Oryctolagus cuniculus: one gene and its partners. The protein of the gene in region 2 interacts with the protein of the main gene of each other region in a pairwise test. Links are inferred from orthologs where the notes say so. Each region holds a gene or a part of one and is shown on either strand. Other genes may lie near its edges.

Region 1 (4,012 bases), on a different chromosome or scaffold from region 2:
TCTCGGGCACTCTCAGGCAGTGGCACAGACCCGTCCCGCAGGTAGTTGAGGATGGTACCAAAGTGGCGGCCGCTCCGGTCAATCAGCACCCAGCCTGGGGAGAGGCAGGAGGGAGGGTGGCTTTGCCGTGGGCCCTGAAGCTGCTCGATCTTTATGAAAAAAGAATCCCATGGCCACAAGAAAGTCTGAAAACCGATCTGTCTCAAACCTTGGCCAGGTCAAGGAGCCCCCTTTCAAACATCCCCCGTGCGTTCTCCCCTCATTCCCTCCTGAATCTCTTCTACAGTGGGAAGGCTCTCACAGAGAGAAAGTTCTTACGCTGCAGGTACTTCAGAAAGGTCACGTACAAATGCAATTACTAGGGGCTGGCACTGTGGCGTAGTAGGTTGAGCATTCGTCTGCATAGTGCTAGCAGCCCATATGGGCACCAGTTCGAGTCCTGGCTGCTCCACTCCTGATCCAGCTCTCTGCTATGGCCTGGGAAAGCAGGGGAAGATGGCCCAAGTTCTTGGGCCCCTGCACCCATGTGGGACACATGGAAGAAGTTCCTGGCTCCTAGCTTCAGATCTGCCCAGCTCCAGCCGTGGTGGCCATTTGGTGAGTGAAGCAGCTGATGGGAGACCCCTCTCTCTGTCTGTAACTTTGCTTCTCAAGTAAATAAATATATTTTTTAAAAAAATGGAATGAGCCGGCGCTGAGGCTCAATAGACTAATCCTCCGCCTAGCGGCGCCGGCACACCAGGTTCTAGTCCCGGTTGGGGCGCCGGATTCTGTCCCGGTTGCCCCTCTTCCAGGCCAGCTCTCTGCTATGGCCCGGGAGTGCAGTGGAGGACGGCCCGGGTCCTTGGGCCCTGCACCCCATGGGAGACCAGGATAAGTACCTGGCTCCTGCCATCGGATCAGCGCGGTGCGCCGGCCGCGGCAGCCATTGGAGGGTGAACCAATGGCAAAAGGAAGACCTTTCTCTCTCTCTGTCTCTCTCTCTCACTGTCCACTCTGCCTGTTAAAAAAATATATATATATAATGAATGGCTAAGTTTATTCAGGCACAGAAAATGTTTGAAACCCATGAAAAGTTTCCTTGTGGCATGCATTTTCCATTTTCTTTCTGAAGACCCCTCATACACCTGGCCTCCAAACTTCTCCGCACCAAAATAAGCTTACTTTTCATTCCACTTTTCCATGAACTTTTTGAAGCCCTCGTGCATAATTACCTTATTAATAAACCTCCAACCCCTAATGTTAACGCCAATCATCCTATTCAAACCGTCTAAGCCACTCACTGCCCATTTAAGCTGTACGGTCTTCACAGGACTTTTACTCCCTGCAGTTACAGTTGTATGCTGTTTGTTTACTTATCGCTTTATTTATTGTGCCCCACCCCTAACTCCCTAAAAAGACTCATCTTGTCAGATCCCCTCACCAAAGTCTCTCCAGCACTAACTGGAACTTTACAAATACTGAATGAATGAATGAATGAATGGTTTGCCTTGGTATCTTCTCCCCACTTCTGAATTTTCCTGCCCTCTCCTATTAACCTCTTCTGAAACCCCAGCCCCCCTGAAGCAAACCTGGGCACGCGCCACGCAAGCCTCAATGCGACCCTCCAAGAGGGTTAAGATTCACCTGCCAAGGGAACTCCCCATCATCTCCTTCTCCTGCTACAGTATGCATTTACTGATGAGCCCTAGAGTGTTCAGGGACCTGTGTCAGGGGACCACAGAGACACGGACAGCTCTCCACGCAGAGGGGAACAAAAGGCTGGGGGTGGGGGGCGGGACACTGAGGGAGGCTGCCCGGAGGGCCGCTGCTGGCGGCAGGGCTGGCTCTCACGTCTTCCCAGACGAGGGGTGAGGGGTGGAAGAGCTGGTGACGGGGATGGTGAAGGGCACGGTGGTGCCTGGAAGAGTCAGAGGTTACGCGAGGGGGCAGGGGCCGGAGGGAGGGGAGACGTGAGACGGGGAAGGGGCACGAGAAGGCTGGGCGACGAAAGCCTAGGGAAAGCGAGCCGGGGCGCCGGGGTCTCCGGGCGGCGCGCCTACCTCCGGCGTCGGTGAGCACCTCCACCCGGCCGCTGAACATGGCCTTGAGCATGGTGTCCTGTCCCGTGAGGGTTCGCAGCGTGGTGTAGTGCAGCGAGCCGCCCACGTTCAACTTCACATACTTGCTGTTCGGGGTCAGCGGCTTCAGACCGTAGGCGGCGGAGCCAGGCTCGAGACCCGAGGGCTTAGGGGCTTCCAGCGACGGGGCCGCGGCAGCCGCCGGGCCCGAGGCCTCGGCCGACATGCCAGGTGGCGGCGGGCAAGCAGCGATCCCAGGTTCTATCCGTGTCCTCCGGCCTGCTCCCACAGACCCCGGGATCCCGGCTCTCCAGCCACACAGTCCGGCGTACACGCCCACTCGCCGCCGCTACTCCAAAACACTGGCCCTTCCGTCCATTGCGCTCGCACCACCCGGAAGTAGGCGCCGGGTATCTGCGCAGGCGCGGCCAGGCCCCGCCCCTGATCCTGGGGGCGTGGCCGCGAGTGCAGAGCATGCGCAGTCGTCTAGGGAGCGAGTTCGCTGGCGGACTGCGTTGCCCCAGCAGGATGAGGAACCGGAGAGATGAGGCTGAGGAAGGGCGCGGACCCCTGCCGGACGTGGAAAGCGAAATTCCCGGGCCGTGATGGGGTCTCTGCTCCCCGAACTTCGTGGGCATGAAGGGAAACCTCGCTCAGAGAGGACGGGTGTTGGCAGTGTCCACTTCCCAAGCCCCGTACCCTGACAGGATAGGAGAACAGAGCCCCGAGGCGGGAAGTGTTAAAGCAGGCGGCGGCGGTGCTAGGGCTGAGCTGGAGCTGAGAGGGAGCGCAGGTGCCGAGACCTCAGGCAGGAAAGGCTTGGTGTCTCAGCAGAGAGCACTTCCGGGGTGGCCGGAGCCGACGGACAAATAGACTCCCGGGTAATGTGATACCTAGCACCCAACCCGGAGAGAAAGAACGCACTGTTCACGAAAACTGTGGTGGGAGAGACGTGTTCTTAGCTGACCTGACCCGCACCCGGGTTAGAGGCACAGAGAGAGATGGTTTTAATCATGCGCCTTCACGTCTGGCCAGGGAGGTTAGCTGGAAGAAGACCAGACACAGGGTCAGAGCTCTGGTTTCAACTTTGCCACCCATCCCCTGGGAGGTAGCCAGGAACTCAGCCTAGGGCTTCCATGTGGGTGGTAAGGACCCCAATACTTGAGCCATCGGCTGCTGCCTGCCAGGGTGCACATGAGCAGGAAGCTGGAATTGGATGCAGAGATGGGACTCGAACCTAGGAACTCCAATATGGGTTGGATGCAGGAGTCCCAACTGGCATCTTCAACTGCTGCACCGGATGGCCACCCCAGGGGTGCACATTTAAATGCCTGCAGGAGATGGTAGGAAGGCGAATGAGCAAAGTGGGCCAGTCGTAAGGTATCAAGGAGAAATGGGCCTGTTATGAACCAGAGATCGCAGGTTCTACCAAAAGGGGTCGCCAATTCTGACTTTCAAGTGTAGCAGAGGAAAAGAGAGGCAACTCCTGACAGCTGGAGCCGATTTGCACTCTTCCTTCCAGAAAGCCTTGGTGTTGCCAGGCACTGGCTTGGCACCCACACCCACAGCCGGGCTTCGGTGATGTCCCGTTGAGCACGAACAATTTCACTGAACAACCTCCGACGAGGTCACTCAGTGACGGGTGGGTGGAGAAAAAGCCCATTCCCTAATCATGTCTGAACCCAAAAACAATCGCATACTACAGACCACCAACATGGTCTAACATGACCCCTTCCACCACTGGGTGAGGGACAGCCGCTTCTTGAACAAGCACAGCTTTTGCCATCATTCAGTCCTGTCCTCTTCCAGCTGACGTCGGTAAGCTAACTGAAAAGAACGAGTTTGCCTCCTGTCAACGTGCAGCCTAGAGCAAAGCCCCCTTCCCTGAGCCCTCCTAGGACATCCCACAGCAAGCCCAAATCCTTCCCACCGGGCATCTGTGTTTGGCCTCT
Region 2 (4,002 bases):
ATTGGCATCGCATGGGCAGAAGCTAGGGATATTGCTCCACATTCAGTGATGCATGGCATAATCCCACAACGGGCACTCTCAAGGCTGATAATGCTGAGGGTGCCGAGGAGAGCCAGTGGGAGAGGGAAGAAGAGGCAAAAGTAAAGAAGAAGGGTTAAAACCCTGTTTCTAGGCCGTTAAGTAGTCATCAGTCACGTGCTTTCCAGCTTCTCTCCCTAGGACCAGTGTCATTTTATTTTCCCTTGGAATCACGTTTGGGTTGCTTTCTCGCAAGAACATCTTCCTTATCCTTAAAATGCAAAGCCCTGATGCAATACAAAGAGCTCTACTAGAAGATACAGCTGAGATATTAAAAAAAAGAGTTCTTAAATGAGTAGAACTGGGAGGTGGGGGCGGGGGGGGGGCGGTGAGGTGGCAGGTAAAGGGACAAACTGTATGCCCAGAGCTCTGTTTCTGTGAGTCAGTGTTTCTGAGGTCACAGAACAGAATAACACCCGAGGGCAGACTGAGCTATGCTGAGAACAGGCAGAACCGATGTGGGTCACAAGGGTTAGGAGAGATACAGGTTTGCCACAGCAGAGTCAGAGGCGAACGAAAGGGTTAAGCAATCAGTGCGTGTCATTCTTGTATCATTCCACATTAAGCCGCCAGGCAGTTATGACAAATAGTTACCTGCGGTTTCCAGTGGGAGAGGCAAGGACACTCCAGTCAAGGGGCTTTGGAGAAACAGGTGCAATGAAGTCATGGTCAAACAATTTATTTACTGTAAACTTTAGACTTTGCTCAGGAAAACAAGTGAAGCTGCCCCCTCGAATCCCTGCCTACAACACCCGGTCCGAGCAAACAGGAGGAGCTGGGAAGAGTCCACGTTCACAGCTGAGAGGTCCGGGATACTCAAGATCCTCAAGTCCAAGGGTGCAGGAAGGAAAAATCTCCTTCAGGTACAAATTACCAGCAGCAATATATTACCCCTAATACTTGACCACTGAGGTAGATACACGGAGAAGTCATCAAAACGTAGCAGACCCAGGTCCTCTAGGACTCAAGCCCTTCGGACATAAACTTAGGTGTTCCATGCAAAAGAGGAACTGAACTGTACAAGAAACAAATAATCACTCAAATACATCTTCTCTCTTTTTTTTTTTTTTACAGGTTAAAAAAGATTAAAAAAAAAGGCAGAAGGCTGCCTTCCTTCTGCGTCTCTCTATACAGTTTTATTCTAAATGTGTTACACTCAAGTTAAATAGTCTGTTTAGTGTTCTGTTGGGGGAGGGGTCCTTAAAAAGTAGAAAAACTGCATTACAGCAGTGAGTCATTTGTCCTACAGTTCCTGCCGGGGGGATCAATGCTATCGTTAGGCACGGTACCTTGACAGTTCACAAAGTCTTCCATGCCCGGGGGGTCCTCACACAGCAGCTCGCTTTCTTTCTCTTGCTCCAGGTGATAGCTACTCTGCTCCCCTGTGTACTCAGTTTTGCCAGTGCTGTTGCTGGAGTAGCCATTCCCGTAGGCCTTCAAAGAAGACCTGCGCAAGCACAGAAGCTCCTGGAAGGCAATCCTGAAGTCTGGGCTCCGGCAGTAGATGAGCGGGTTGAAAGCAGAGTTGACATAGCCCACCCAGTTGAGGAGGATGTAAACTTCCTTCGGGATGAGGTTGTCCTGGATCACGTGCACGATGTTGACGATGAAGAAGGGCAGCCAGCAGAGGGTGAATGTGCCCATGATGATGCCTAACGTCTTGAGGGCTTTGTGTTCCTTCAAGCAGAACTTGGAGGACCTGCGAAGTCCATGTCCATGCCCGCTTCGCCCATCCTGCTCCACCTGGCTGAGGTTTTGGGCATGGAACCGGCCCTCTGATTTGTCAATCTTCTGGAGCTGCTTTTTGGCCACCTGGAAGACCCTGGAGTAGACGAAGACCATGACCACCAGGGGCAAGTAGAACGACACGATGGAGGAGGCAATGGCATAGGCTTGGTTCGTGAAGAAGTCACAGCAGGTCTCCTTGGCGTAGCAGTTGATGGCTTCCTGATGGGTGGCCCTGTACCAGTGCATCTGGATGGGCAGAAAGGAGGTAAGGCCCGACACGATCCACACCATCAGAATGACCACGCGCGCCTTATTCTTGGTCAGCAGGCTTTGGTACTTGAAGGGTGAGGTGATGGCGAAATAGCGATCCACTGCGATCACGCACAGGGTCTCAATGCTGGCAGTGACGCACAGCACATCAATGGAAGTCCAAAACTCGCACCAGAAGTTACCAAAAGTCCACATTTTCATGAGAATGTGGCTCGCCCCAAAGGGTACCACCGCTAAACCCATAACCAGGTCAGCACACGCCAGTGAGGTGATGAAGTAATTTGTGACCGTCTGTAGACGTTCAAACTTGGCAATGGCTGTGATAACCAGAACGTTGCCAAACACGATGGCCAGAACAATCAGAGACATGACGATGGCCAGACCCACCACCCACGCCTCGTCTGTTTCCTGCGAGATGTCGTGGTCCGGCGCGTGACTTCCATTGGGCGCTAGCAAGAAATCGCTGCCGTTCCCGGGTTGCCCCATGGCTCGCAGGCGGGCAGGTGAGCGCCCGGGGGCGGCTGGCGGCACAGTGGCCCCGCCTCAGCGTGCGCACCTCCGGAGGGGCGCTGCGGACCGCGAGCGGACTCCTGGAAGCTTCATTCAGCGGCCGTAGTTGGATGCGGAGGGTCGCGTGGGTCACGTCCGGCGCACTCGGCTTGTGGGTTGCTCTGAGCCCTCCGTGCCCGCCAGCTCCAGCCTGCACTTCAGAGAAGCCGCCTCAGAGTGCGTTCTGCCCGTTATGTGCTCAGGACTTCGGGGCCACTGCCTCCCAGTGACGTGAGGCAACTTTCGGCCAATGGCGTGCCCGCAGCCCCGAAGGGGCGAGGCACCTCTCCCCTTCGCTTCCCTCCCCTTGCCCGCCCTCTCCTGGGGCTGGCCCGGGTGGCAGGCGGGCCACCACTCCCGGGCTGGCTCCTGAGTGCTAAAGCGGGGGCTGCGGGCTCAGCAGCGAACCAGCGAACTGAGCTCCTCTCCCTCCGGCTGCTACCTGTCTGCCCTGGGCGCTTGTGCGCATAATGGCGCTCGCGACATTTGGAAACAGGGACCAGAGTGCCATCAGAACTTGTACATACAAGCACGATGCACCCCTACGGACATGCTCAGACTTATCTGGAACTCAGGGAGACACGACACACCCACCCAGCGCACCAACATGCCTCTCGCGCGCGCTCACACACCCACCCAGCGCACCAACAAGCCTCGCGCGCGCTCACACGCAACCCACAAGCACTGTTGCCGGCAGTCACGGCTCACACGCGGTCAGAGTCAGACATAGAAGCAGCCAAGGGCACAAAGGCACGGACAGGCACACGGAAAGAAGTAAACACACTCTACGCACATAGAGGTGCGTGCGCGCTGGGACTTGGGAGCGCACAGAGCCACAGAGGCACGCGACCCTGTGCGGGTACCCACAGCTCTTCTGGCTCAAGCCCTCAATTGCCACACACCCCCGTGCTCCACCTCTCCCCACCCCGTCACCCTTTCAAACATTTGGCAAGATCACAGGAGATGACTTAAACAGCTGCCGATTCCCTCAGCACGGTCCCTGTCAGTTACTTTGAATGCTCTCCTCGGGAAGGCGGAGAGTTGGGAAGGTTTTACTCTGCGTTTCACTGCAGCTTGGCTGTGTATGGACCTAGCTTGTGATGGCGAAGAAAGTTGCGTGGTTTTGTTGCTGATTGTTGAGAGTGTAGCAGCCCCCCTTCTGTCATCTGTTGGAATGGAGATGCACTGAAAATGAAACAGATTTCCTTTCAAACGTAATGTCTTTGATAACCCCATGGCAACTGCAGAAAAAGCAATCTTTTCAGAGGCTAGATAATTTGTATCTGTTGGATTGAACCATATGAAGTTGCCTTGGTTGGTTGCCTCTGATTTACAAGAATGGACATTTCATACAGTTTGTAACATTATGACTGTACT
Region 3 (4,072 bases), on a different chromosome or scaffold from region 2:
TGGCACAGTTTCCTGTGTGTGCTGGATTAGCTGATCTGCAGAGCTATTTCCGGATGGGTTCTGGTACCTGGATTGCACAGGAAAGGTCGGACTTTGTGCCTCTGTCCCGTCTGCTGTTCCATTTGTCTCATTTGTTTTCTAGACAAACTGGGCTGCTCCTTCATGGCACCAGCATCAATGCCCTTTGTTTTCTGATGCTTCCTAGGGATTTAAATTCAAGCAGCAGCATACAATGCAATGATTTATTTGCAACGCATTCATTTGTTTCATTTGCTGTTCCTGTCCCCGATTACCCTGGCAATCGGTTGATGATTTGTCAGCAACTTTGCGGCGGGGATTTTCTTCATTTTCGTTTCAGTTTACTACAGGCTATCATAAGTGATGCAGATGATATTCGTTTCTGACACGTGAATGTGACAACTGTTTTGGTTCGGATCCGTCATTAATCAAAACTGAAGAACAGAATACAGCAACTGAATTCAGCGCTGCAGATTCTGACTTTCATTTCTCGCGTTCTAACATGTGCTTTGTCATATCTCCCCCAAGGCGCCTCTGCTTCTTTCACGAGGTCCGTTTCCTCATCTCTCTTTGCATCACTGGAGCGAATTCAGGAAGCAGGCGAGGTTGGATGGGAACACGACAGAAAATTCAGCCCTACCAATAGACGGGTGGATAGAACTACAGAGCAAACTGACAAATCCCTGCTGTAAGGGTTGGGGGGGAGCTGCAAGTCAGCCTTCGAAAGTTTTTTTCTTTTTTAGCGCGGACGAGACGCTGTCTGAGAGCCAAAAAGAGAGTCGGCGGGCCCCACCCCACTCTTCTCCAACGGACCTCATTCTCCTTCCCGCCCGCAAGCAGCCGCTACTACAATTCCCAGAAGGCACCGCGCAAGGCCGCAAAGGATCAGTCCTTCGGCGGAGAGTCCTCCCCCGGCAAGGAGCATGCTGGGAGTTGTAGTGAATCGGCGCTTCCCGGCTACTTCCTTCCATTAGGCATTTCCTTTTGAAAAATGGTGATGCATTGCCGTGGCAGGTTCCCTAGTTTCGCACTTTGCGCTCAGCGAGACGGAGGGCTGCGCCTCTTGCCCAGCGCTGCGAAGGGCGCCAGTCCCTTGCGGGCTTTACTCCGCCCTCTGTTCACGCCCGTTCCCTTGACAGCTGGACTGTGCTCGCGGCCGCGAGGCCGGGGACGCGCAGGCGCACCAGCCCAGTGCCGCGCTAGGCAGGCCTCGAGGGCGGGACGGACGCCAGAGCCTCTCTCGGCCGCCGGGGCGCGCACGTAGGCACGCAGAAGCTGTCACGTGGGGCGCCGAGGATCGCAGTGCGCGTGGCCGCGGCGGCTGGTGTGGGGTTGAGTCAGTTGTGAGACCCGGCGCTGCTGACCCAGCGGGCGACCCACCAGACCGGCGACAGAGCGGCAGGCGTCGGGGCTCGGGATCCGTGAGCCTGGCCCCCTCGTAGAGATCCGCCGAGCCGGCGCCGCCGTCGTCCCCCGCCCCCAGCCAGCAAACCGCCGCCGCCGCGGGCGCGCCCCCGCTCTGCGCTGTCTCTCCGATGGCGTCCGCCTCCGGGACCATGGCGAAGCACGAGCAGATCCTGGTCCTCGACCCGCCCACAGACCTCAAATTCAAAGGTTAGGCAGGAGGAGGACACCTCCGGGCAGGGAGGGGGCGAGCAGAGGGCTCGAGGGCAGGTTGGGGCCGCGGCCCCAGGGAGCGCCCCCTCCCCCACGCCCGGGCGCTTTCCATTTTCCGGCGGCTCCCTCGCCGCCTTCCCGCGGCCGGCCAGCCCCTGCCCGCTCCCTCCGTCGCCCGCGCCTCGCTGCGCGCGCCGGCCGGGGCGAGGAGGCGGGCGGGGTGGTGGTGGTGGGGGTGAACCGGCCCGGGCGCCGCCGCCGCCATCTTGCGGTCCCGCGGGGGCGCCTCCCGGGTGCAGTCGGCCGCGGGCTCGCGTCCTTGGCCCCCGAGGCCCGGGGCGGGCGTGGGTGAGGGGCGGCCCGCGAGCGTGCGCCCGGGTGTGCAGCGGCGCGGGGCGTGTGGAGGTGGCGCAGGCCGGCGTCTGGCTGTCAGCGGCGAGGGCGGGCGCGGCGGCCCTCGGACCCGCGGGAGGAGTGAGGGCCGCAGCTCGGGCCCGGGCGAGCTGGGTGGGGCCGGCCCCTGGGTCCTGGCGGAGGGCGTCGCTGCCCGCCTTTTTGTCCCGTGGGTAACTCAGCTGTCAGGGAACCGGAGCGCCGGGGGAGGCGGAGAAGCGCTCATGAGTGCGCTCCGGACTGGTCCGGAGGTGTTGGCAGAGCCCCAGGCGCGTGCGGGCCGGGAAGGCCTGCGTCAGCCCCGAGTGGATCGCCGTGGGCTGCTCGGAGTGGGTCTGCCTGCCCCTCGGCCGTGACGTCTCCGCGCGCGGCAGACCCGTGGCGGCGCCTTCGTAGCCCTCCACTCGAGTTCTGCTGACTTTGGCCTTTGCGTTTGCGGCCCCCCCTCCCCCCCAAACCCTGAGAAGGGTGATAAGGTGACACCCAGCTCTGGAACTCTGCTGATTTCAGGGCTCTGCCTGTGATGGAGTGAGTGATCGGTGTGTCTTGGTGACCCCGTTTGGTCCATTGGCTTTCCCGTATGCAGGGTACTTTAGGGAAACGAGTTAAACAGGTTACACTTTTTTTTTTTTTTTTTTTTTTTTTAAAGGAATCCTCATCGTGCGAAGATCTAAATAGAAAGCAGGTTCTGTCTTTTCTTTGGTTGACTGCAAAGTGAATCCCCGATTTGGAAGGCAGGGTCTTGTGTTTCAGTTGCAGTAGCTTGGATGAGACCGATTTTGGTGCGGTGTATGGCAACTCCAGTGCTAAAAGAGACAACTGAAATCCTTTATTGTTGTGTAGAGTTGAGTCCAAAAGAAAAGTCCGCGAGGAAATTTTAAAATAGTTTTAGGAAATGGAAAAATAATATCTTCTGGCATTGTGAGAGTAACAGTTGTATGATGACTTTGCAAACTGAGTGAATTTGCAAATCTAAATGGAAACCTAAGTGAGCTGTTAGGTAAGGATTTTGTTCGAAAGGCAACTCTTAGGGCATATTTTGAGGTGTAGCCAGCACATTCTATTGTAGCAAGTGTACCTGTTCCATGATAGTACATAGTTTTAGCGGGAGGGGGACCTTTGAGGAATATGGTGTAATTATACCCTACTCAAGTAGCCGTTGTCTTAAGTTGAAGGAATTTAATGTGATGTATATTTTTTCAAGAGCATTTTGATTTTACGTTTTGACTGGCTGACAATAGGCAGCTTCTGCATAAGCATAGATGGATTGTCATTAGGACTTAGAAGCCTTTAAAACAAATTTTAGGTCAGGATGTCTGCAGTTGACAGGTTTCTCCCTAGAGAGGTTATGATGTCGCTTTGGTAATATTCATAGTGGAGAAGCAAGTTCAGAAAACAACCAAAGACACGACGACACACACAGTAACTTAGGAAGCAGGTTCCACAACAGAAACTTAGAAACTGTCTTATTCATGCATTTCACGTGTTGTGAGTACCTGGTAATACACAGCTGTGATGTTAGAACGGGTTGTTCTCGCCTTGTGGAAGAAGTCGTCCAGAAAAGGCCAGTGAGTGCAGACCACGTTACCGAGGCGCAAACACCTCTGAGGAGCAAGGCCCCCCTCCTCCACCTTTCGGAAGCCGCCCGGGAAGAGGCTGCTTTCCAGTTGTCTGGAGGGCTGAGCTAAGGGAGTGGCTGAGTAAACACTGCAGTGGAGAATGCCAGGCGCAGAGCGGACCGAAGTTTCTCAGGGAGTGTGTGCTGCTTTAGAGGTGGGTTCACGGGGAGCACGAGGATTGGGGGAGAGGAGCAGTGCAGTAAACTAGTGGCTGACAGTTTTGGTGCTTGGTTTTTTGCCTCCTCAGTGTTTTTCAAAGGTTGCCTTTCGTTGTGGTGGAAACTTGTCTACATTTAAGTGGACGGCACAACACCAGCTGAAGAGACTTATTTAGAATCAGCCGTCTATTTGTTGTGCCTGGTTTGATGATGACACTAAGACTTCGTTTGTCCTAAATCACCCTTAACTTTTTGTTTAAAGGAATG
Region 4 (4,246 bases), on a different chromosome or scaffold from region 2:
CTGTCTACCAAGTAAATATAGATGTTTCAGAGGTACTTTGAACTTGGCAACAAGAGAAGTCTGGATTCTGGTGAAGCAGTAACAGCTGATTTAGTAGCCCTGGAATGATTCTGCATCTGATCCCTGTCAAGATAACAGAGGGTTTTATTTACTGTCTCTTGCCTTGGTCCTTCTAAATAGGTACTGTTTTCTGTTTACTTATCCAGTAGCTTAAAGCCCTGGGACAATGTTGAACATAGTGTCACTGGCCCTGGTGCCAGACAGGATCAGGGGCTCCGGAATATTTACGGTTTCCCTTCTTCTGCTTCCATAAATGAAATGGACAGTCTGAATGGAGAAAATCAAGGGCCAGCTGGCCAAAGACACAACTGGCAGCAAAACACTTGGGCCCCTTCCAAGAGCTGGTGTTTACAGAGAGGCCATTTAAAGAGCAAATTCCAACTACCACACGGACGGTTCAGGACCCTAGCCACGGGATGAAGCAGTAGAAATTTACTCAGAATGATTGTCCTTTCCAAAGTTTGCAAAATAATACATTCCTCTTTTAAGAAACTTGCTGGTGTTAGTCAATTCTTTAAAATAGCCAATCCTTTATACTTGTAGAAAATATGTCCTATATACCTCGACAATGATAAATTCTGTACCATTGTGGCCAAAGTCTTATTTTAGCTTAAGTTCATCCATTCAGAACTAAATAAAATTGTTAAAGAATGGAGAAAGAAAAGGAAAAGGAGCAAGACATGACAGAATGTGGATGTGATAGCATAGAAGACAGCCAGACACTTGAGCTAATTTGAGAGGTTATTAATATATCATGAGGCCAAGCTGACAAACAAAGAAAGGCAGATTTCCTTTTTTAAAATAAAATATTGCTCCAACTTTGCGATTCAAAAAAGGCTATAATCTTCCTGGAGACAAATCCACACTGAAGCACAAAAATCTAGTTGGCAAATACTGCTGGTTTTTATTTTCTTGCTGGGCCATGATAACGACAACTATGGGCTGGCCATTTATTTAACCCTAGGTTCTCTGACGGGTGCCAAAGCAGAAACTTACACCACACCATCTTCAGAGAGAGTGATTCAACCCATTCTATGCACTATAAGATGTCTTTTTTTTTTTTTTCACAGCCCAGGAACAGACGAATTTGCAGGCTAACAAAGCTGCCTCTTTTTATACATACATGCATAAACGATTGGAATGAGAATTGGAGAACTGGAGATGAAGGGGAAAGGTCCAGCGAGTCGGTGGGCCCAGCAACAGCTCTGATGCCTCTGATGCCGTGAGCCTGGAAACCCAGAAAGCTAGCAGCCTGACGCCCCGCCCCCCTACCCAGAGCCCTCACCTCGATGTAGGGCACGATCTTGCAGGAGAAGTCCTCCAGCAGCCACTTCTTGGTCAGCTCGTGGAAGATGACGAGCGGAAGGCAGAAGAAGATGATGAGGAAGTCCCAGAAGGCCAGGTTGGCCAGGAGGGAGTTGGAGATGCTCCGCATGTAGTAGTTGTGACACACGATGCACATCACCGCCAGGTTGCCGATGATGCCGGTCCCAAAGATCACCACTGACAAACACATGACCGCATAGGCTCCGTAGGACTCCTGGGTCAGCGGGTAGAAGGGGTTCTTCAGCCTTACTCGCCGGTTAGTGCTGTTACCCCGGCGGGGACCCCCGCGCTCGTGGACCTCTTCGCCTGAGGACCCATTCTGGGCCAGCGCCCGGCCAGGGGGTGCAAATGTCCGCCCCTCGTGCCCTGCCAACCCACTGGCCGTCTTGGGTGGGGGCTTGTGGTGGGAACCCTGGAGTTTGCCGGCTCTCCTTGGCCAGTAGAGATCGCTGGCTACAGGTTCCGTCTTCACACTCTGCTCCTGGCTGCGCCCGGAAATGCCAGCGCCCCTGGGATCCTCCTCTTCGTCCTCTGAGGTCTGAAGGAAGCGCTGGAGGGCCGTGGGGTCTCCTCTCCTCAAAGTTCCGGGGACCTCCTGGACCCGGACGCCTTTCCATCTCCAGGAGCCAAGCAGCCTGGTCGGAGGTCCCGAGGGCTCCGCTGCCGACGCCTCCGCCCCTCTGCCTGCACCTGGGTCACCGCCCCGGGCGTCTGGCAGGTCCCAGGAGGGCGCCGAGCGCAGCGCTGCCTCCCTCTCCTCCCCTGGCGCGCGGGCTCTCAGGACGTCTCTTGCAGAATTTTCTGGTCCCCACGAGCCTCTGCCGCGGCGCTGGTTCCGTATAGGTGAACAGCTCTCCCCCAGACAAGTTTCATTCCTGGGCGCAGGGGCAAACCCGAAGGCAAAAGACGCGGAAATCTGGAGCAGTAGCAGCAGCAGAAGCTGCAGCCGCAAAGTGCCGGCGGCAGGCGCGTCCGGGGCCCACATGGCTGGGCGAGGGCTCACCGGCAGCCGCGGCGGCTCCCGCTCAGGATCGACACCTGCTGCCCAAGTTGCTCCTGCGAGTTACACACATGTCACATACTCACCCAGCCGGGGCAGCGTGAGACCGAAGGTTTTGGGGAGGATGAGGGATGAGTCTTGGGGTCACACACTATACCCCCTCCTCTACCAGCCTTTCTTGCTTGGCGTCCTGCGCATTTCTCAGTCAAATCCAATCCGAGCCTCTGTGTGCCCCCAAGGTGCAGAGATGGAAAGACTACTCCCTGTGGCTGACCTTGAAAAGTTGCAACCGCCACCTGAGTGTCGATTATTGTTGCGCCTGGGAGAAGCTGGGAGGAAGTCCCCACCCCACACCCCCGACGCTGCTCCCTGCTTTTTGGGGCGGCTGCCTTCTTGGTAACAGTTGCTCTGCCTGTTTACATCCTTTTGATACGGCTTTATCCAGTTGCAAGCCGAGGTCTCCAGACGCAAAGAAAAACAAGGCCCCCTCCCCCAGACGGCTGGCAGGCAAATCCCACTCCCAGCTGGGCTGGAAACAGGTTGCGGAGGTCCGACGCCTCGCGGACGCGCCGGGACACGCTCGCCCCGCCTAACCCCAGCGACCGGAGAAGCGGGACTCGAACCCCGCGGCCAAAGTTGCTTCTCCTCCGGCTCAAAGTTGACGAGCCGGCGGCCCTTGCAGCTGGGCGCCGTGCCCCGGCGGAGGAGGGAGTCGTGGGCGGAATGGGGGCGAGGGGGGAGCCGGTCTGCCGCGGGCTGTGCTGCCGGCCGCCGGAGCTTGTCACCGCCACGGCGGGCGCCGCGGGGAGTGTGGTGCCTGGAACCGCCGCGGGCGAGGCTGTGCGCGGCCGGGAAGGGGGAGGTGGCCCGGCCTCTCCCCAGCCGCTGCGCGCGCCCGCGCCTCCGCCGCTCCGCCCCCCGCCTTGCACCGATTGAGAGTCGCTGGTTTGTGGGGAGACGGGATCCCCTGCTGGTTTGTCACCCACTAAGCCCACGGGCGTTTCATTCAAACCGTTCGTAGTGGCTTTCACGCCTAAGGGCTGGGAGCGGCGAGGGCGGAGGCGCGCGGAGCCTGCGCGGCTGGAGGCCACGGATGGGCGGGACAGGTTAAGTCCCCAGATGTCGGAACCAGCCAGACCGGTCCCCGAGCCGGGATGGGGCTGGAGGAAGGAGGAGAGATGAGAGAGTGTGTGTGTGTGTGTTGGGGGGCGGGGGGGGGGGTGGACAACCGGGGTGGGTAGAAGGGGCGAGAGCAGCGCCACCGTCTCCGCTGGCCCAGGCAGGTGCGCATGCCCAGGCCTCGCCCCTAGGGAGTCGAAAGGTGAGGCGCTCACCTTCTCAGGTTCGAGAGCTGAGGCAGGAGAGAGGGAGATCCGAGGTTTTCGTGCTCGCCAGTCTCGCAAGTGGGACGGGGTGAGGCTGCTCAGGATGCACCTGTACCTTTCACGCTGAGTTCGAGGTCACTTCGAAGCGCCCAGAGCACAGGGCACGGAGTTTTGTCCGAGTGATAGCCAAGTGGGAGATTACATTGAGGGGAGAATCGCAGAACTCCCAGCACTGCTCAGCTCTGCCTTCCGGGCCTGCCACCACTGCGCAGCGCTGTTCCAGCTGTCGGGGTGTAGCTAATAAAACAGACAGAGGACAAACTGATTAAGAGAACGTGGTTAAGAAAGAAGCACATTGTGAAATGAAATAGGGCAACGCATCTAGAAAGAGAGGAAAAACAGTAAACAATATGCCAATTGTAGATAGCTAAGGATGCCCACACCGTAATCCCTGATGCCTGTGTGTAGGCTACCTTGCCCGCGACTTAGAGGATGGGATTCAGTTATAATCACAAGGGTCTTTACAAGAGACGCA

What was found. The genes of interacting proteins can lie anywhere in the genome.
Region 1: the proteins of ADRB2 (region 2) and KCTD13 interact in a protein complementation assay, tested with the Homo sapiens proteins (2 studies listed by BioGRID and IntAct, with this or other methods). The link is inferred for Oryctolagus cuniculus from reciprocal best matches to the Homo sapiens genes ADRB2 and KCTD13.
Region 3: the proteins of ADRB2 (region 2) and VAPA interact in a protein complementation assay, tested with the Homo sapiens proteins (2 studies listed by BioGRID and IntAct, with this or other methods). The link is inferred for Oryctolagus cuniculus from reciprocal best matches to the Homo sapiens genes ADRB2 and VAPA.
Region 4: the proteins of ADRB2 (region 2) and GPR37 interact in a protein complementation assay, tested with the Homo sapiens proteins (2 studies listed by BioGRID and IntAct, with this or other methods). The link is inferred for Oryctolagus cuniculus from reciprocal best matches to the Homo sapiens genes ADRB2 and GPR37.

The regions. Positions count from the first base shown.
Region 1 is NC_091450.1:7,326,683-7,330,694, forward strand, and holds the start of KCTD13 (BTB/POZ domain-containing adapter for CUL3-mediated RhoA degradation protein 1), read right to left. Parts: upstream 2,801-4,012; 5' UTR 2,287-2,800; coding exon 2,043-2,286; intron 95-2,042; coding exon 1-94. UniProt on the Homo sapiens protein: Substrate-specific adapter of a BCR (BTB-CUL3-RBX1) E3 ubiquitin-protein ligase complex required for synaptic transmission.
Region 2 is NC_091437.1:36,224,077-36,228,078, reverse strand, and holds the start of ADRB2 (beta-2 adrenergic receptor), read right to left. Parts: upstream 2,801-4,002; 5' UTR 2,563-2,800; coding exon 1,368-2,562; intron 717-1,367; coding exon 709-716; 3' UTR 673-708; exon of another isoform or gene 1-672. UniProt on the Homo sapiens protein: Beta-adrenergic receptors mediate the catecholamine-induced activation of adenylate cyclase through the action of G proteins. The beta-2-adrenergic receptor binds epinephrine with an approximately 30-fold greater affinity than it does norepinephrine.
Region 3 is NC_091441.1:67,079,282-67,083,353, forward strand, and holds the start of VAPA (vesicle-associated membrane protein-associated protein A), read left to right. Parts: upstream 1-1,272; 5' UTR 1,273-1,553; coding exon 1,554-1,632; intron 1,633-4,072. UniProt on the Homo sapiens protein: Endoplasmic reticulum (ER)-anchored protein that mediates the formation of contact sites between the ER and endosomes via interaction with FFAT motif-containing proteins such as STARD3 or WDR44.
Region 4 is NC_091434.1:160,977,254-160,981,499, forward strand, and holds the start of GPR37 (prosaposin receptor GPR37), read right to left. Parts: upstream 2,801-4,246; 5' UTR 2,372-2,800; coding exon 1,346-2,371; intron 1-1,345.